Linked DNA regions of Tamandua tetradactyla. Each later gene encodes a partner of the first gene's protein in a complex. Links are inferred from orthologs where the notes say so. Each region holds a gene or a part of one and is shown in the gene's direction. Other genes may lie near its edges.

Region 1 (8,496 bases):
TTGAACTCAGGGACTGCACCTTCTGCTGAAGGAGGGAGGTGAGGGTGGGGTGGGGAGTGGGATGACCCCCAGAGTCCCACTTATGACAAGTGAAGAAGACTGAGCCTGTTGGAGGCTGCTTATGGCTCTACTGACTTCACATCTGACCATCAACCTAGAGGTGTTTCTGGTGACACTTGACGGGGCAGGTAAGGTTATTAATTTCTTGATTAAATAATAGAGTCACTTACTGTGTTCTGAACTGCCTCTCTGGAGCTACCTCCACTAGGACTTACCTAGTTATGAGAGCTAACAGTAATGCCAAAACTAAAACCTTCACTATCCCTCTCCTTTATAAGTTTGAAGACATTCTAGTGTCCCATCAATTTCTCATTGTCCCTGAATGCCCCACCCTCCCTTCTAGGAAAGGATCTTCTTCACCCCCTGGAGACCACTTTAAGACTAGCAAACCCAGCAAGTGTTTACCTCTTGTTTGCCCTGAGGTCCCTACTAGATCAAGGCCTCCTAACAACCCAAAAGAGATCCTGAAGCAAATAAACCTGTCTGTATGGGATGAAGGCATCCCAGGACTAGCCCATGAGTAGCCACTCTCTGCATTCAAATTTCCAGTCCTAGATCTTACAAATGCCTTTTTTGTATTCCTCTTCACCCTGGATCTCAATACCTACTTGCTGTTGAATGCCAAGGACATAAGAATAAGATTTCTGCCCTACTCACTTAGGCAATGCTACCCCATGGGTTTCAAAATAGACCCCATATCTTTAAGGATGGTTTAGCAGCAGACCTTACTAACCTCCAGTTGCCTCAAAGCACAGTCTGACATATTCCTAGCATGAAAGTGGATCTTATTTGAAGTTAGTTCTGACTACAAGCCCTAGATGGATATAGAAAGTTATAGAAAGTTTGTGAAAGTATATTTTGTTTGTCGTAGGGCATTGCTATCAGTCCTGGATGGATATGGAAAGATGCAGAAGGTTTAAGCAAGTGAATTTTGTCGTCATTGCTGACTACAAACCCTGGATGGATGTAGAAAGTTGTAAAAATTTTCTCAAAATGAAAATTTAAGAAAGTAGGTTTTGTTTATAATCACTGCTGACTATAAGCCCTATGTATAAAGAGTTATAGAGGGCTTTTAAAAATATGTCTTGTCATAATTAATGCTGCTCCCTTAACCATCTGAATATTCTATCTATATGTTTATACTAACCTTATCATCCTTTATTTCAAAAGATAAGTTTTCTTACTTTTAAAAGAACTGTTGCAAAAGATTTGTTGTTTCACCTTGTGAAACTGAGGGGTTAAAATCATATTAAATATAATAACTAAGAGAGATTTTCTATCCTTTTGTTAAGTAAATTTATGTAAGTTAAATGTTATTCATATATTTACAATTTTATAAGATTCCTAAAAACTTAACAATGTTCTCACTGTCCATGTTTTATCCTGATACTGATTTGCATGATAGGAAAATTTATAGATCATTAAAAACAACTTAATTCAGCTTTATTCAACATGGAACCTAGAATAAAGAATAAAATCTTAATCATAAAATTAAAAAAAATATTTGCAAAGTCCCTTAAAGGACTAGAGAAAAATGTGAAGCTATTTAACTTCCCCACTTAGGGAATTCTTGCTATTCTCCTATGCAATAAGGGACCTGTATTTAATAAGCCAAGCCCTTGATCTTGAGGCTTTCCCTTATTTGATTTATTTCTATAATAGCAAAGTTAAGCCTTCTTATAACTAATGCCTATAACTCATCCCCAGAGATCCTCTTTTATTGCTCAGATGTAGTATCTCTCTTTAAGCCAAATTCTGCAAATAAACTCACTACCTTCTCCCTTACATGGCACATGACTTCCAGGGGTGTAAGTCTTCCTAGTAACATGAGGCAACACTTCTAAAGAAAGTCTGACCCTGTGTTATAGAATTAATTGACCAAAAAAAGAAAAATGAAATTCCAGGGGCTAAGAAATTTCAAATAGAGATGAGAAGTCATTCTAGACATTTTTATTATACAAATTTCAGCCAGAAATTGCAAACTGCCACATTAGGACAAGCCCCAATCAATAATTTTCCTAAAAACTCTAAATACTCTGAGCTCCATCTTGCTCCTGCTTCTGTTCAGACCATGTATACAATTTCTCACCCAGTTTGTTTCTTCCATATTAAAAGCCTTTCACAACAAAGTTTTCCTCACCAGAGGCTGCATGCCTGTTCCCCACACTCAACCAGCCACTCTCAATAGCATAGCCAGAGACTTTTATGCTAACACAAGTAGGGCCTGTAACCCCACTGACAGCTTGAAGCAGCTATAAAAGATGGACCATTGGCCCAAATTCTCTTAAGGGAGCTAGGAAACCTCTGAGGGGGAAATGAGGTAGGGTTAGAATTAGGGTGGTAACTGGCTAAGCACAGGGAAAACTCTAAAAAGCAGTCAGGCTTCAAGGTGGAAGATATCTCTGAGAAGAACAGCAATAAGTAGCACCTGGAGCCATATGACCTCTACCTGAGTAAGTCATTTACAGAGAAGGGTGGAGTCAACCACCCAAATGCACCACCCTGGAGAGAAGGGAGGGTAGGAGAAAGAGGCCTAAACAAAGAAGGGGAAGGGGGAGTAAGTAAAGCTAACCTATAAAAGTAGATTGCCTCACATTGTGGGGGCCTCTCGCCTCTCACCCCTCTTTTTTTGTAAAAGTGTCTGCATTCTCCTTGCCTGCATGTACTCAATTTTCTGCCTGCTTAACTCTTTGGGCTGTGCCCTTGAATTGTTTCTTGCGGCATGGCCAAGAACCTAGGAAGCCGAATCTGGCAACTGTGATTTAGCTAATCACAATTTAGGATCAAATGAGATATTACACTGCCTGGGTCATAGAAAACCAGCAATTACTATCATTTATTTTCGTTATCATCATGGTTCCTGCTACAACTAACATTTTAAATAATTCTCATATCTTTAGTTGCAACCTGTTTTTATTTTTTCTGTAATCTATTCAAATAATGTTTTCTCAAGAAACATTGATCTACCCCAGGCATCTTCTATCTTCCCTTAGTTTCACAACCATCAACAAAGCCAACTAAATCAGAAGCTTGGGAGTTATGCTGGACTATTTCTGTTTCTTTATTTCCTATATCCAAGCTATAAAGTTCTCATGATTCTTCCACTTCAATAGCTCTTTCATTCATCCTCTCCTACCTCTCTCTTCTTTCATTGCCCTAATTTAGATTCTGGATTTCTGCTTTAGCAGTCCAATTGGTCTGTAACTCTAGAGTTTTCTATGTACTTTGTCTCAGGATTACATTTTCTAAATTGCAAATCTGATCAGGTTATTCCTTAGCTTAAAGTTTTAACAAGCTTCAAACCACAGTAGGCAAATATAGGCATTCAAGAGCTTTCATTTTCATTCCTGCCTACCTTTCCAACCTCATCTCCTGTCACAGCCCATATATATTCTGCACCTCAGGGACATACAGGTACATGTTTTCCTCCTGTGTGCCTGCTCTCTTATACCTCCTCAGGGCCAGGCTGCCTCTAAGCCCATGACTTGAGATCCTACACAAAGGGTGATGCTGATGCTGTGGGACGCTGGCCTTTCTGCTGAGATGCAGGGTGCTGTTGGGCTCCTGCCTCTGAGGGAATGGCACCTGGGTCTAATGGGCTACCAGCTTCTGCTGCTGGCCTTTGAGGAACTAGAGTCACAGAAAGACCTGCCCCAGCTGAGGAGGAACCTGAGATGGAAGCTCCAGGCCTTGGGCTCCGCTGGGGGCCTGAAGGGCGGTGAGGGGACACACATCAGGATCAGGGTGGTCCCCCCATGAGGTATGGGCAGTTTGTACTTTGGCTCCCTCTGCTTGTTTTGGTTTCTTATTAAAGTCCTTTCCTCCTCACCCACACTCCCAAATCTACAATATCTCTTCCCCTGTTATCCCTTGCACACCCTATGCAGGGTTAATCCCAACCTCCATTTTAATAAATGGAGGAGCTCTTCTATGGCTTTAATTATACAGAAGACAAGGAGTAAATATTAGTGCCCTAATCACTTCCACAAAGCATATAAGAATATATACTTCATCAAGGAAGACTAGATTTGAAACCCACCCATAGCAAACGTTTGCAAATTAATCCCAACTATTTTGACCATACCCTACCTGAGTCCCCATTAATATTTACATGGCCAAATATTTTTTAAGTTGTATTCAGATAACTGATTTCCACTTCAAATTAGACACTTCAAATAACCCAGTAATTACTCAAAAATATATTTAGACTTCTTTAGAAACAGCTTTTCAAAACACATGCCTGCTATGTCATAGGGATTAGTGAGTGGGTGAATGCTGGTCTTTTGGGAAAGGCCACATTGAGGAAAAGTAGGCCTAATGGTGGTTAATGATTAAAGTTATTAACTTTCCTAGATGTATTTTCCACATGAACTAAGAATCCTTAACTAGTGACAAATCATCATTTTTATTATTATGAAATTGTTTTTTAAGCCCAAAGTCATTTCTAGGTACTATTGATAGATGAAGCAGCTTAAAAATATGCCAGGTGATTTGATTGGAGGAGAGAGACAAAATATAACTGTCAAATTAGAAGCAACAAAAACAAAAATGAGATTTAAATATAAGGAGATTAGTTTTTCTTTTGCTATCCATAAATTGGCTCTGAAAGTAATTCCAAAATGTTTTGAGGTTAACAGCCTCCAAGGATGACTGCTTTGAAAGACAACATTCATATATGTGTACATTTGATTTTTTTTAAATAGGTTTCTCCTTTATTTATTAACAAGTGGTGTAAAAAAGATGATCTTATTTTATTTACATGGTTTCCTATTCTTCAAACAAGGGAAGTAGAAAAACGTCTGGCAGGAAAGATTTTTTCTTAGTGCTTGAGCCATAGCAATGCTCCAACATTGCATACTTTTAAAATGTTATCCACAGAACCAAATACACGTTGGAATATCTTCTTTGACGTGAAATTTGCTTAGTGTGGATACATTCTGATGGAAATATTTAACAACATTATCGGAAAACAATACTTCCCCTTAATTTATGTAATGCAATCAGATATTATCATTCTCGTTCTATTTCCGACCCCCTAAATCGAATGAGTCGCTTCTCAGAGTTTGAAACAACATACTTTATTATAAGACTTGCGAGCCCTTCAGGCTCTAGGGGGAGTCTGATTTTAACCCAAGGTTTTCCACACCCGCCGGCTATGTTTGGTAACCTAGCAACCAGGCTCCGAAACGAATCCAAAATGCGAGGCGGGGATGGGGGAGGTGTGACGGGGAAGTTGTCCAATCAGCATCGCGGATTCGTCGCAGAGACCGATGGGGTGCAGAGGGGTAGACTGCTTCAGGTATCGGCACCATGGCGACGGGCGGCTGTGGGGCTGGGTTGGCAATGGCGGTTTGGTCCGCTTTGTCTTCGCCCACTGTGACTGCGTTTCTCCTTTTGGTCCTTCCGCGCGTCTTGCAAGCCCAGACCTTCTCTTTCCCCTTCCGGCAGCCGGATACTTGCGGCCACAATCAGTACTTCGATATCTCCGCGCTTTCCTGTGTCCCGTGTGGAGCCAATCAGAGGCGGGACGTCCGAGGTGAGACCTTTTGGGATGAGTTCCGGCAAAAGTAACCCTTCCTCCTTGGTGCTGTCCTTAATCCCGGCGTCGCTGAAACGCCTATTTTTTTAATCGGCGGGAAGAATATATCAGAAAAGTTAACCGCCGACGACTGAGGGGACTGTTTCCTTGGAGGATTGCTAATGAATTTGGGGAACCCGGAGTCCGCTACCCCGGGAACAGTTCTGGTTCTTCAATTTTCGGCACTAATGCCTCTCCCCTCATCCGGAGGTCTTTAGATAGCACCTGGAAAGCAGCCGAGAGAGAAAAAAAGAATAGAGAAGGTGAGACGCAGAGGAGTAGATGACAAGAAGGTTTGACAGGAGATACACATTTTGCAATTGTAATCTTTGACTGCCGTTTATCTTACTTTTCAAATCCCAGAATTTAGGGCTGGGAGGGATTGTGACTATGATCAGATCCAGTTTCCCCGTTTTACAGATAAGTAAATTGAAGATCTTCTGAAGAGGTTGTAATATCTTCTTTGCAACCTAAATTGAAGAAGTGAAGAACTCGTGTCTATTTGTCCTCAGTCTGAAACTACATATTTCCACCATACAGTGTGTCCTTAATTTAAATTTCATTAGGACTTAGCCCTTTGTATTGTTGAGTAATACTAGTTGCTCTTTAATATTTCTTTAGATTAAGCTAATTCATTTTTTGTCTCCTTACTTCCATCATTTGTCTTAGTTTGCCTCATGGACACTGTTCCATAAATCTCCCATATTCTAAATTCTCAAATATTTTATCTTGATTTGGTTATCCATGTGTATTGGTTTGCTAAAGCTGCTAGAATAAAATATAACAGAAATTGAACAGCTTTTATAAAGGGAATTTATTAACTTACAAGTCTACAATTCCAAGGCCATGAAAATGTACAAACTAAGGTGTCTTGAGAAATATACCTTGCCTCAAGAAGGGTGGATGGGTCCAAAACACCTCTGTAGGCTGGGAAGGAATGTGGTTGGATCTGTTGGGCTCTCTGGCTTCTGGTTTCAAACAGCTTCCCCAGGTGGCATTTTCTTTCCGTATCTCCAAACATCTGGGTCTCATGTTGGCTCTCACATAACTGTGTTGTCTCTGAAGCAGCTGTTGTCCAAGCTCAGCATCTGAGCTTTCTCTAAAATGTTTCCCCTTTTAAGGGACTGTTGTAAATTAATCAACACCCACCTTGAAAGGGCAGAGTCACATCTCCATCCAATCAAAAGGCCACACCCACAATTGAGGGGGTCAGTCTTCATGGTAACAATCTAACCAAAGGTTTACAATATTGAATCAGGATTAAAGGACATGGCTTTTCTGGGGTACACACTTTAAAACAAGCACACCATGGTACTAAGATGGTACTTCTGTCATCTTCAAATTTGATATATTTTCACTTGGATTATTGAACAAGACAGGTCAGGACACTCAAGTAAGGAAGTGTGAATGAGAAAACATTGAAGAGACTCTAAAGGTGTAAGGCATTAGCTTATAATTACAAATCCAGATATTGCATGCATTGTACTACAGAGACTCCTATGGGTGCTGTTTTCACTTACTGCCCTTATAGGATGCTACACCTACCTATTCAGCAAGTTGAGTAGTGTTTATAATGTTCACTATGTATCCAAGTTGAGGGAAACAGTGATTCCGTGAATTTTTTGAATCAAGGTAATTCATTCAATCTATGTATATGGATGGGTGACATGGAAATGTAAAGTTACCCACAGAAGTTTATCAATAATCTTATTTATAGTTTAATTATGCTGGTGCTTAAATTGGTAGCAAACATAATACCCACTGTGTGCTCAACCCTGTTAAAACCCTTTACATCTAATAACTAGTTTAATACTCATTCTGACCCTTTGAGGTAGGTACTAATACTACCCCATTTTGCCAAAGAAGCAGCTGAGGCACAAAGAAATTAAGTAGCAGCACTAAAATTATAACCTAAGGAGTATGTTTCTGGACTTGAACCCATGCAGTATTGGTTCCAGTGGCCTCGGTCTTTTTTTTTTGCTTGGAAGGAAAGGAACTAATGTCTTTTTTTAAAAATTTATTTATTTTTTATTTATGATCCATAACCACATACAAAGACAAGCATTCTTATCATATGATCATTCTGTTCTTGTTATATAGTCAATAACTCACACTATCTTCACATAGTTGTATATTCATCATTATGATCATTTTTAGAACATCTGCATCAATTCAGAAAAAGCAATAAAAAGAAAACAAAAAAATATTCATACATACCATACCCTTTACCCCTCCCCTTCACCGATCACCAGCATTTCAATCTACTAAATTTATTTTAACATTTTTCCCCTTATTATTTATTTATTTTTAATCCATGTGTTTTACTTGTCCGTCAATAAGGTAGACAAAAGGAGCATCAGACACAAGGCTCTCACAACCACAGTCACACTGCGACAGCCATATCATCATACAATTATCTTCAAGAAACATGGCCACCAGAGCACAGCTCCACATTTCCAGGATGTTCCCTCCAGTCTCTCCATTTCACCTTAACTAAACAGGTGATATCTATTTGATGCTTAAGAATAACCTCCAGGATAACCTCTCGACTCTGTTTGGAATCTCTCAGCCACTGACACTTTATTTTGTCTCTTTTCACTCTTCCCTCATTTGGTGGAGAAGATTTTCTCAATCCCTTGATGCTGAGTTCCAGCTCATTCTAGGATTTCTGTCCCACGTTGCCAGGAAGGTCCACACCCCTGAGACTCATGTCCCACGTAGAGAGGGGGAGGGCAGTGAGTTTGCTTGCCGTGTCAGCCAAGAGAGAGAGGCCACATCTGAATAACAGATGAGGCTCTCTTGGGGGTGACTCTTGGGCCTAATTTTAAGTAAGTTTAGCCTATCCTTTGTGGGATTAA
Region 2 (7,936 bases), about 75 Mb from region 1:
TTTATCCTGCCTTAGCCATATGACCTGTATCTCAGGGTAAACAGCACGTTGATGAGGGCACCTTCTCATTTATAGAAGAATCCCAGCTGATATGCAGGAGGAATGATGGAATTAGAACATTTCCATTTTGCAATTTCTAATGAAACAATGGAGCTTGGTGATTATAATTGAGAAATTAGGATTTAAGGGATGATTTTGATTACTGAATCGTTATACAGATATTCCTTTTTGCTTTCTGGTATATTGGAGTAGACAGAGGGAAATTCCTGAAATCTCTTAATTATAATCCAGCTGTCATGGCATCTGAAATTATTGTAAAAGCCTTCACCTTGTGACTTCGTAACTCTAAAAGCTGTTACGCCCTTTATCTGGTCATTTAGTTATAAGGCAAAGGTCCTAATGCTAATGAAGAATTTGAAGTCAGCCATTAACTAGCTTCAGCTCCTGATATTTGTACATCCTATTAGCTAGATTCTGCTATTGAAAGATAACTTGTCTCCATTTCTTTTGGCTTACACTTTTTGTACTGAAGTCGTTAGCCTGCCTCCTTTCCTTTCAATTTATATTCTTCTATGGAAATATTGATAACATTGTCTCCTTTTCTGCTTTGAACTTGCTACTCGAAATGACCACATCTCCCCTTGCTAAAGTCCTTAAAAACCTTGAACCTCCCTAAACTTGGGTAGATAGATTTTGGGTCACCAGGCCATCTGTTCTCCTACTATATGCCCAGTAGAAACTCTTTTCTCTCTGAAACCCAGCTGTCTCAGGAACTGGTTATTGAGTGCGTCAGACAAGATAATCCACTGCCTTTCTCTGGTAACATGATGGCCAATGGATGCTTGAATCATGAGGTGAAAAAATGATGGCAAATTTATAATGACTGCATCATCAGTCTGACTGCAACTGAACCCAGTGCTCAATCCTAACACCAGAAAAAGACAAGCAGCCATCCTGATGTGATGGAATAGGAAGTACCACAACCAGGATGTATTTTCACTAGAAATTGAACCTAAGACTGAAGAGCCAAACATTAGACAGTTTACAGGGTTTTAAGAATATGTTAAATGACAGCACAAGAATACAGCCCACAAAATGGCCCAGTTTCTTCAAAAAATAAATTGCAAGAAAATAAAAAGAGGAAGAGGAAAACGTAAGATTAAACGAGATTTAAGACCATGCCTGGGAAAGAGATTCGATTTCTGGCCCATGTAACCCGGCTCCTGCCCCCACCCCATCCCACCCCCCAAAAAAGAGAGATTTAAGAGTCATATCAATCAAATGCAATGTCTGGACTTTACTTCGATCTTGATTTGAGCAAACTAACCGTAAAAAAAAAAAAAAAAAGGTATGAGTGAAATAAGACAGACACAAAACTAAAAATATTGCATGATCTCACACATGAAATAATTAGAATATGCAAATTAAGAGTCATGAACTAGAATACAGGTTACCAAAGGAAGGGGTAGGGAATGTGAAGTTAAGGTTTAATGGGTAGGAGGTTTCTATTTGGGGTGATAAAGAAGTTTTGGTTATGAATGGTGGCGATATTAACACACTATGAATATAATTACAATGCTGAATGGTGTCCTTGAAAGTGGCTAAAATGGGAAATTTTATATTGTATATATGTTATCACAACTTAAAGAAAAATCCATAGAACTATATACAACATAACAAGTGAAGCCTAAACTATGGAGATTAGTTAATAGTGTAATTATAATATTGGTTCATCAATTATAACAAAATTACCACACCAATGCAAAGTGTTAATAATAAGGAAAACCATTGGGGGGAATATATGGAAACTCTACTTTCTGCCTAATTTTTCTGTAAACCTACAACTGCTCTAAAAAATAAACAAAAACAAAAAATTATATATATATATGTGTGTGTGTGTGTGTGTGTGTATGAGACAGTAGGCCAGTATGGACTATTTGATGATATCTGGGATTTGCTTCAAAATAACTGAGTGGTGTGGAATAGATGAAATAAGGCTGGCCATGTGTTGACAATTTTTGGAGCAGGAGGATGGATTCAGAAGGGTTCATTACCTTATTCTCTTTATATAAACATATTATACTATACATGTTTGAAATTTTCCATTATAAAAAAGTTTTGTTTTGGGGTACATGGGCTGGGAATCAAAAAAAATTTTTTTAAGTTCTTGTATTTCCAGTTCATTGTTAGGACTTGTGGACTGTAGCCCTGGAGGGCTAACTGGAGGACACCTGGTTAACTAGCAGGCCCTTCTAAGGTTGCAGATTATCTTTAAAACTCACTTTTGTGAAAACGCTAGCGATGGCTTCATCTATCTAGGGTAGGCTTCTGTGAACCCAGGTCACAGAAAATGATGCATACCTACAATGTCCGTTTAGTATTTATTGATTTACAATAGGGAACGTGACTGTTCAATTCTGACTTTCTAATAGAGCCTCTAGGCAGGAAGCGTATTGTAAGCAAAACACCCCAAACTTCCAGCTGCTGGAGCCTAAAATCTTACAGTTACCCTTGACTGTTCTCTTTTCTCACCTGCCCAAAGCCCCCACATCCAAACTTTCTTATATTCTATACAGCTCTTGATTCCCTCTGTTTCTCCACTTTTTGCCTTCTCCCTAGTCCAAGCCCCATCATACTCCCTCCTGGACACTTCTACCGCATCCTCACTAGCCTTCTGCTTATAGTCTTACTCCCTTAAAGTCTATTCCCCACATTGCAAACAGAGACATCTGAAATACACATCCATTGATGCCCCTCTCCGTAGCTGCAAGGCGTGACATGAACTGGCTTTTGCCCTTGTCCACCTCTCCAACCCCACCCTTCTCTTCTCTTACCCTTCCATTACTAGCCTTCAGACATACTGGCTTCCTTTCTGTTCGCTGGGCTTGATCCATTCTGAAGATCTTTACACTTGCTGGTCCCTCAGTCTGAAAGGCTCCTTCCCCAGAGCTTTACATGGCTGACTCCTTTTCTTCATTCCCTTTGTTCCAGGGGACTTTGAAGATTTTGCAAATACCATATCCTGGACCTTTTGTCGCTTAGGCCTTACAACAGAGCTTCCAACATCTGTGAGGAGTCAATTTTGCAACTGTCACTGGGGAAGCTTGGCTCTGAAGGCCTGAACTTTCAGGAGAAAATGCATGTCAGTTACAGTGAAGGGAAGAAAAACGTCCTGACATCTTTTCTACGCTATTTGCACACTTGTGACGCTGTAATATCTGTGCTGGAGAATACAGGAACCACTTCTCATTGTGGGGTCATCAGGATCATTCATTTTAGGAGTCAAATAGCAAAGGGTTACCTCAAGGGAGACAAACAGTTGTGTTTACAGTACTTGATTTTTCCTGTTCACCCTGAGATGAGGGGAGGTTTGGAAATACTTGCAGAACTTAGAAATGGTAACAGTTAAGGAGAGAACCTCCCCTACAAACCTGTGAGTGGAGACCAGTGTAAGCAATATTTGATTTGTTACCTTGAGTAGAAAATAAAAGGACTTTGCTAAATATCTCCCTTTGTAAAACTAAGTGCTCAGAAAAATCTAAAAAATTTTCCATTTATGGGGATAAAAGCTAATTTAGTGCTGCTCACTAAAGAGGTAGTTTCTATGAAAATGCCATTACATAGCTTCAGTATATAGGAAAGCAACATTTAACGGCTCTCAAATCCGAGATATCATTCCTTCTTTTTTTATAAAGCAATTTAATGTCTCAATTATAATACTGTGTAAGACTCAAAAGGAAAACTTAAGAGGCTTACTGTTTTAATCTTTTCGTTTAAAAATAATTTGATTTACAGAAAAGTTGCAAAAAACAGTACAAAGAATTCCCATGCCTTCACCCAGAACACATTCGCTTTACCGTTTTTCTCTATATAGACAAACACATACACACACACACGCACATAAATATTTTCTAAACCATGTGAGAGACAGTTAAAAAAAAAAAAAAAGAAGCGCATTTATTAATTTGCGGGCCTGGAAGAGAGAAAGCATTTTGCCACACTTTTGGCCAAATTCCCTAAAATATTTGTTTAACATTATGTTTAAGAACAAAAGACCCACTTTCAAAGTGCATTTCCTTGGTCATATTATTCTAGTGTTTTCCTATTACCGTGTGTTTGCCGTCGATGTCCCTGATTAGAATATAAATGCACGAAAGTAGGAACATTTGTTCTCCAATGTACTCCTAGGGCCCGTACAATGCTTAGTACTTACTAGGCGGCCAATAAATATCTGTTGAATTAAGACATTAGAAAGGCCTTTTGGGCTTGTAGCCCAGAACAAGGCTTAAAGGCAGAAATGGGAATGGGGGTTCTGCTGGGAGGTGGGCAGGGACCTTGTGAGAAAACAGCACTCCGGGGAGGGCTTTCCCAAATCTGCAAGGATCCCCTAGAGGCCCAAACGTCAGTGAGGTCGCCGACAGTGAGCGGTCTTTGGACTGCCAGGGGAAGGAGGGGTGCCGGACACTCCGAGGAAATCGCGCGCTTAGTCTGCCTCCCTACCTCAGAGCCTCCTGAGGACGCAGGGCCGGTTCCATTCCCTTCCTCCACCCGCCTCTCCCCTCTCCAGGCCCTGCCATCCACTCTCTTATAGAAACACGCCTCTTATCCGTATCTTTCTTCAAGAGAGCTGGCTGTTTCTCGCACTCTGCAAATCTCTCCCTAAACCGAACAAGGTTGTTGGTGACTTGCCTCCGGAGGAATGGATCAGGCTTCCTCACGTGGGTGAAGTTTGAGGACTCGAGCGGCTCGAGACTTCCCTGCTCTCGCGAGATTTCCAGCGAGCAGGGCGGTGCGCCCGCTCACGCCGTTGCCAGGACAACTGGGCGGGGCCAGCGCCGGCGGGAGTAAAGAGGCCGAAGAGTTTTTGTCCGCTCGTGCGGGGCTTTTTTATTAGTGGCCAGCCCAGAGTTTCCAGCCTCAGAGACTACAGCCTCTGCTCGGGGCGGTACCCCTGTCCTCGGGCACCATGGGCCGGATCTCAGGGCTCGTGCCCTCTCGCTTCCTGACGCTCATGGCGCATATGGTGGTCGTCATTACTTTATTCTGGTCTCGGGTAAGACCCACCGCTGCTCCTCTCCCACCTTCCAGCCCCGCCCCGCCCGGTCCTGCCCCGCTCCGCCCCGCCCGGTCCTGCCCCGCCCCTTCCCAGGACTACCTGCTTGGGTGCTTCAACCCCCGAGCCGGTACCCTACTCCCCAGGCTGCTCCGCATCCCGCCTCTCTTTCATATTTCTCTTCCTCTCCATGGCGGTTCCCCAGGACAGCAACATCCAGGCCTGCCTGCCTCTCAAGTTCACCCCCGAGGAGTATGAGAATCAGGACATTCAGTGAGCTCTTGGGGCGGGTGATCAAAATGAAGCGGTGGTGGAAGTGGAGGGGTCTTAGAAGTCCAGAAGTCCTGAGTCAACCCCCTTCCTCTCTGCAGGCTGGTGGCAGCGCTCTCTGTCACCCTGGGCCTCTTTGCAGTGGAGCTGGCCGGCTTTTTCTCAGGAGTTTCCATGTTCAACAACACCCAGAGCCTCATCTGTATCCTTTCTGCCTGTACACCTTACCTACACTGCCCATTCCATCACGACCCCTCTAACCAGGCTTTACTAGCACAGAGGGCTGCCTGGCAGGCAAACAGAATTTCTCCAGTTGACAGATCTTAGGCAATGTGGGGCATTTAATACAATCTGCAAACATTTGTTAAGCCTCTTCTATATACAAGGCACTAGAGAACCAGAATGAGAGTAAAACACAGTTTTCTACTGTGAGGAGGAAGCAGACACAAAAACATCTCTAATTCCGTGGGATAGCACTGTGCTGTGGGAGTGCATAAAGATATAAAAAGCACTATGGGAACTCAGAAGAGAGAGAGGAAGTGCAGAACATGGTTCAAAGAAGGCTCCTGATAGCTGAATTGTGGGCCTGGAGGAGCAGGGTGGTGGAGTATGTTTCAAGTAGAGTGTATCAAGGGGCTGTGAGCATTTCTGTCTGTGGTCTGGGGGTGTGTGGGGTACTTTCTGAAGGCCAGGCTGTCCCCTAGATATGTGTTGGGATACCCTGGAGTCCCAGCTGTGCAGGCTTACCTCTGGCTTCTACTCACCTGGCTGTCTTAAAACTCAGGAGACAGGGCTGCTGTCTCTGGCCCTTGTAGAGTGGTGGGAGCAAGAGATTAACTTGAGAGCAGGTGCTAGCCGCCGCTACCTCCACCCCAGGCCTTTTCTAGTCCATCACTACCTGTCCATCCATCCAAAGGTTTTCCTTGACTTTGGTGTGTTCCCAAGCCATCGGGGCACACTGTAGTGCATCCGTGGCCCTGTCCTTCTTCATATTCGAGCGTTGGGAGTGCACAACGTACTGGTACATTTTTGTCTTCTGCAGGTGCGATAGCACCCAGTATTTGGGGATGTGGGAGGAAGGTTTTCCCTGTGCAGCCAATTCCCCCTGGTGTCAGACACCAGATCCACTCAACATCCTGTGGTCTTTTGAAGTCTCTTCACCCCCCACTCCTTACACTTTGGGTGGAGTCTCTGGTTTGGGATTTTGGGTATTTTTATTGGAAGGGATCCTGAATCCACCGCCAATTGCTCCCTCCTTCTCCCCCCGCCCCACCCCAGCGCCGTTCCAGCCGTATCTGAAATGGCATTATTCGTCGCTGTCTTTGGGCTGAAAAAGAAGCCTTTCTGATCACCTCCATGACGAGAATGTTGGAACGAAGGCTGGAGGAGCAAGGGGCCGTACACGGGTCGTGAAAGAAGACGACGTAGGCTTCTCACTCTGAAACTGCACCTGGTGGAAGATGTGTATTGTGGTAATTAGCTCCCTATTCTAGGATTATTAGCGTTTTATTTCGTGCTTTATAATAAAAGATATTTTATAATAAGATCAAGACATGATAAAAATTTCAGAAGAGAATGAGGATGGTCAAATTACTGGAGAAAAGCAATTTTTTCTAGAATTACCGTTTTATTTTAGTTATTACGGTAGACATTTGGCGGGAGGGGATGGGTGGAGCTATGTAAATAAGGGAGCGGTCGGCCGCCCAGCGGTGAAAGGAGCAGTATGGGAGGAATTGGTGTATCCCTTTTCTGTGAGCCGGCAGTATGAGAACAATGTAAAAGAAAAGTAGCAGTAGAAATGTAAATTTCATGTAAGTTCCTAAACACCTTTAGGTTGACTAGGCTTAGACGTTATATACACACCCTCTGTAAAAGCGGAATCTTTTAAACAGTGCAGCGTGGTAGGAGGTTTTTGTTTTATCGTTAGGAGGGTTAATCCTGACCTGTTCCTCTTTCGGGAGGGCAGATTGGATATGTGATGATTGGAGTTGGCATGATACGTGATTAGCGTTCTGCGTAATCAGGGCTTGCAACACCCTGGTTGCTCCTATCTGATACCCCTAACGATCGCTTGTGGGTTTTTTTGTTTCGTTTTAGTTAGTTTGCGGTACGTCTTTGTTTTTTTTTTCAATTTGGAGTGAGTTATCATAGTATGGTTAGTGGGGGTTTGATTTGGACTTGTTTGTTCGTTCTGTTATGTCGTGCAGGAGGCGATGTAGTTTTATGTGCGACTTGTTTGTTACTTGTGGGTGACTCTGGTTATACGGAAACGTATAGATTCTTCTCCGATATTATTCGGTGTCTGTTGTCTTTTACAATCTTAAATGAGTAGTGGGTCAAGATGCCCACTTCTGATTTCCTGTAAAATGGTGGTGTCGTCGGTGTCGCATAAGGCTGTCGAAGTCTTTCTTGTCACCACGGTAGGAGGGCAATTTGCACGGAGTGGGAAGCCATTCATGGTCATGGTCGTAGCATTTAGTGTAAACTCCACTTCCATTCCTGCATAATAAGAACATGGAAAGAACATGTTCAAATGAAAGTTAATGAAACATAGTAGGTGTTATGCAGACAAATTACAACAAGATGTATAAAGTTCCACCATTTCACAGAAGC

Evidence for each region. The genes of interacting proteins can lie anywhere in the genome.
Region 2: TMEM67 (region 1) and TMEM107 share a complex: the UniProt entries of both Homo sapiens proteins name them as parts of the tectonic-like complex. The link is inferred for Tamandua tetradactyla from reciprocal best matches to the Homo sapiens genes TMEM67 and TMEM107.

What each region holds. Positions count from the first base shown.
Region 1 is NC_135332.1:137,075,986-137,084,481, forward strand, and holds the start of TMEM67 (meckelin), read left to right. Parts: upstream 1-5,325; 5' UTR 5,326-5,370; coding exon 5,371-5,596; intron 5,597-8,496. UniProt on the Homo sapiens protein: Required for ciliary structure and function. Part of the tectonic-like complex which is required for tissue-specific ciliogenesis and may regulate ciliary membrane composition.
Region 2 is NC_135332.1:62,012,528-62,020,463, reverse strand, and holds TMEM107 (transmembrane protein 107), read left to right. Parts: upstream 1-4,786; 5' UTR 4,787-4,966; coding exon 4,967-5,053; intron 5,054-5,258; coding exon 5,259-5,326; intron 5,327-5,424; coding exon 5,425-5,525; intron 5,526-6,268; coding exon 6,269-6,365; intron 6,366-6,601; coding exon 6,602-6,671; 3' UTR 6,672-7,399; downstream 7,400-7,936. UniProt on the Homo sapiens protein: Plays a role in cilia formation and embryonic patterning. Requires for normal Sonic hedgehog (Shh) signaling in the neural tube and acts in combination with GLI2 and GLI3 to pattern ventral and intermediate neuronal cell types.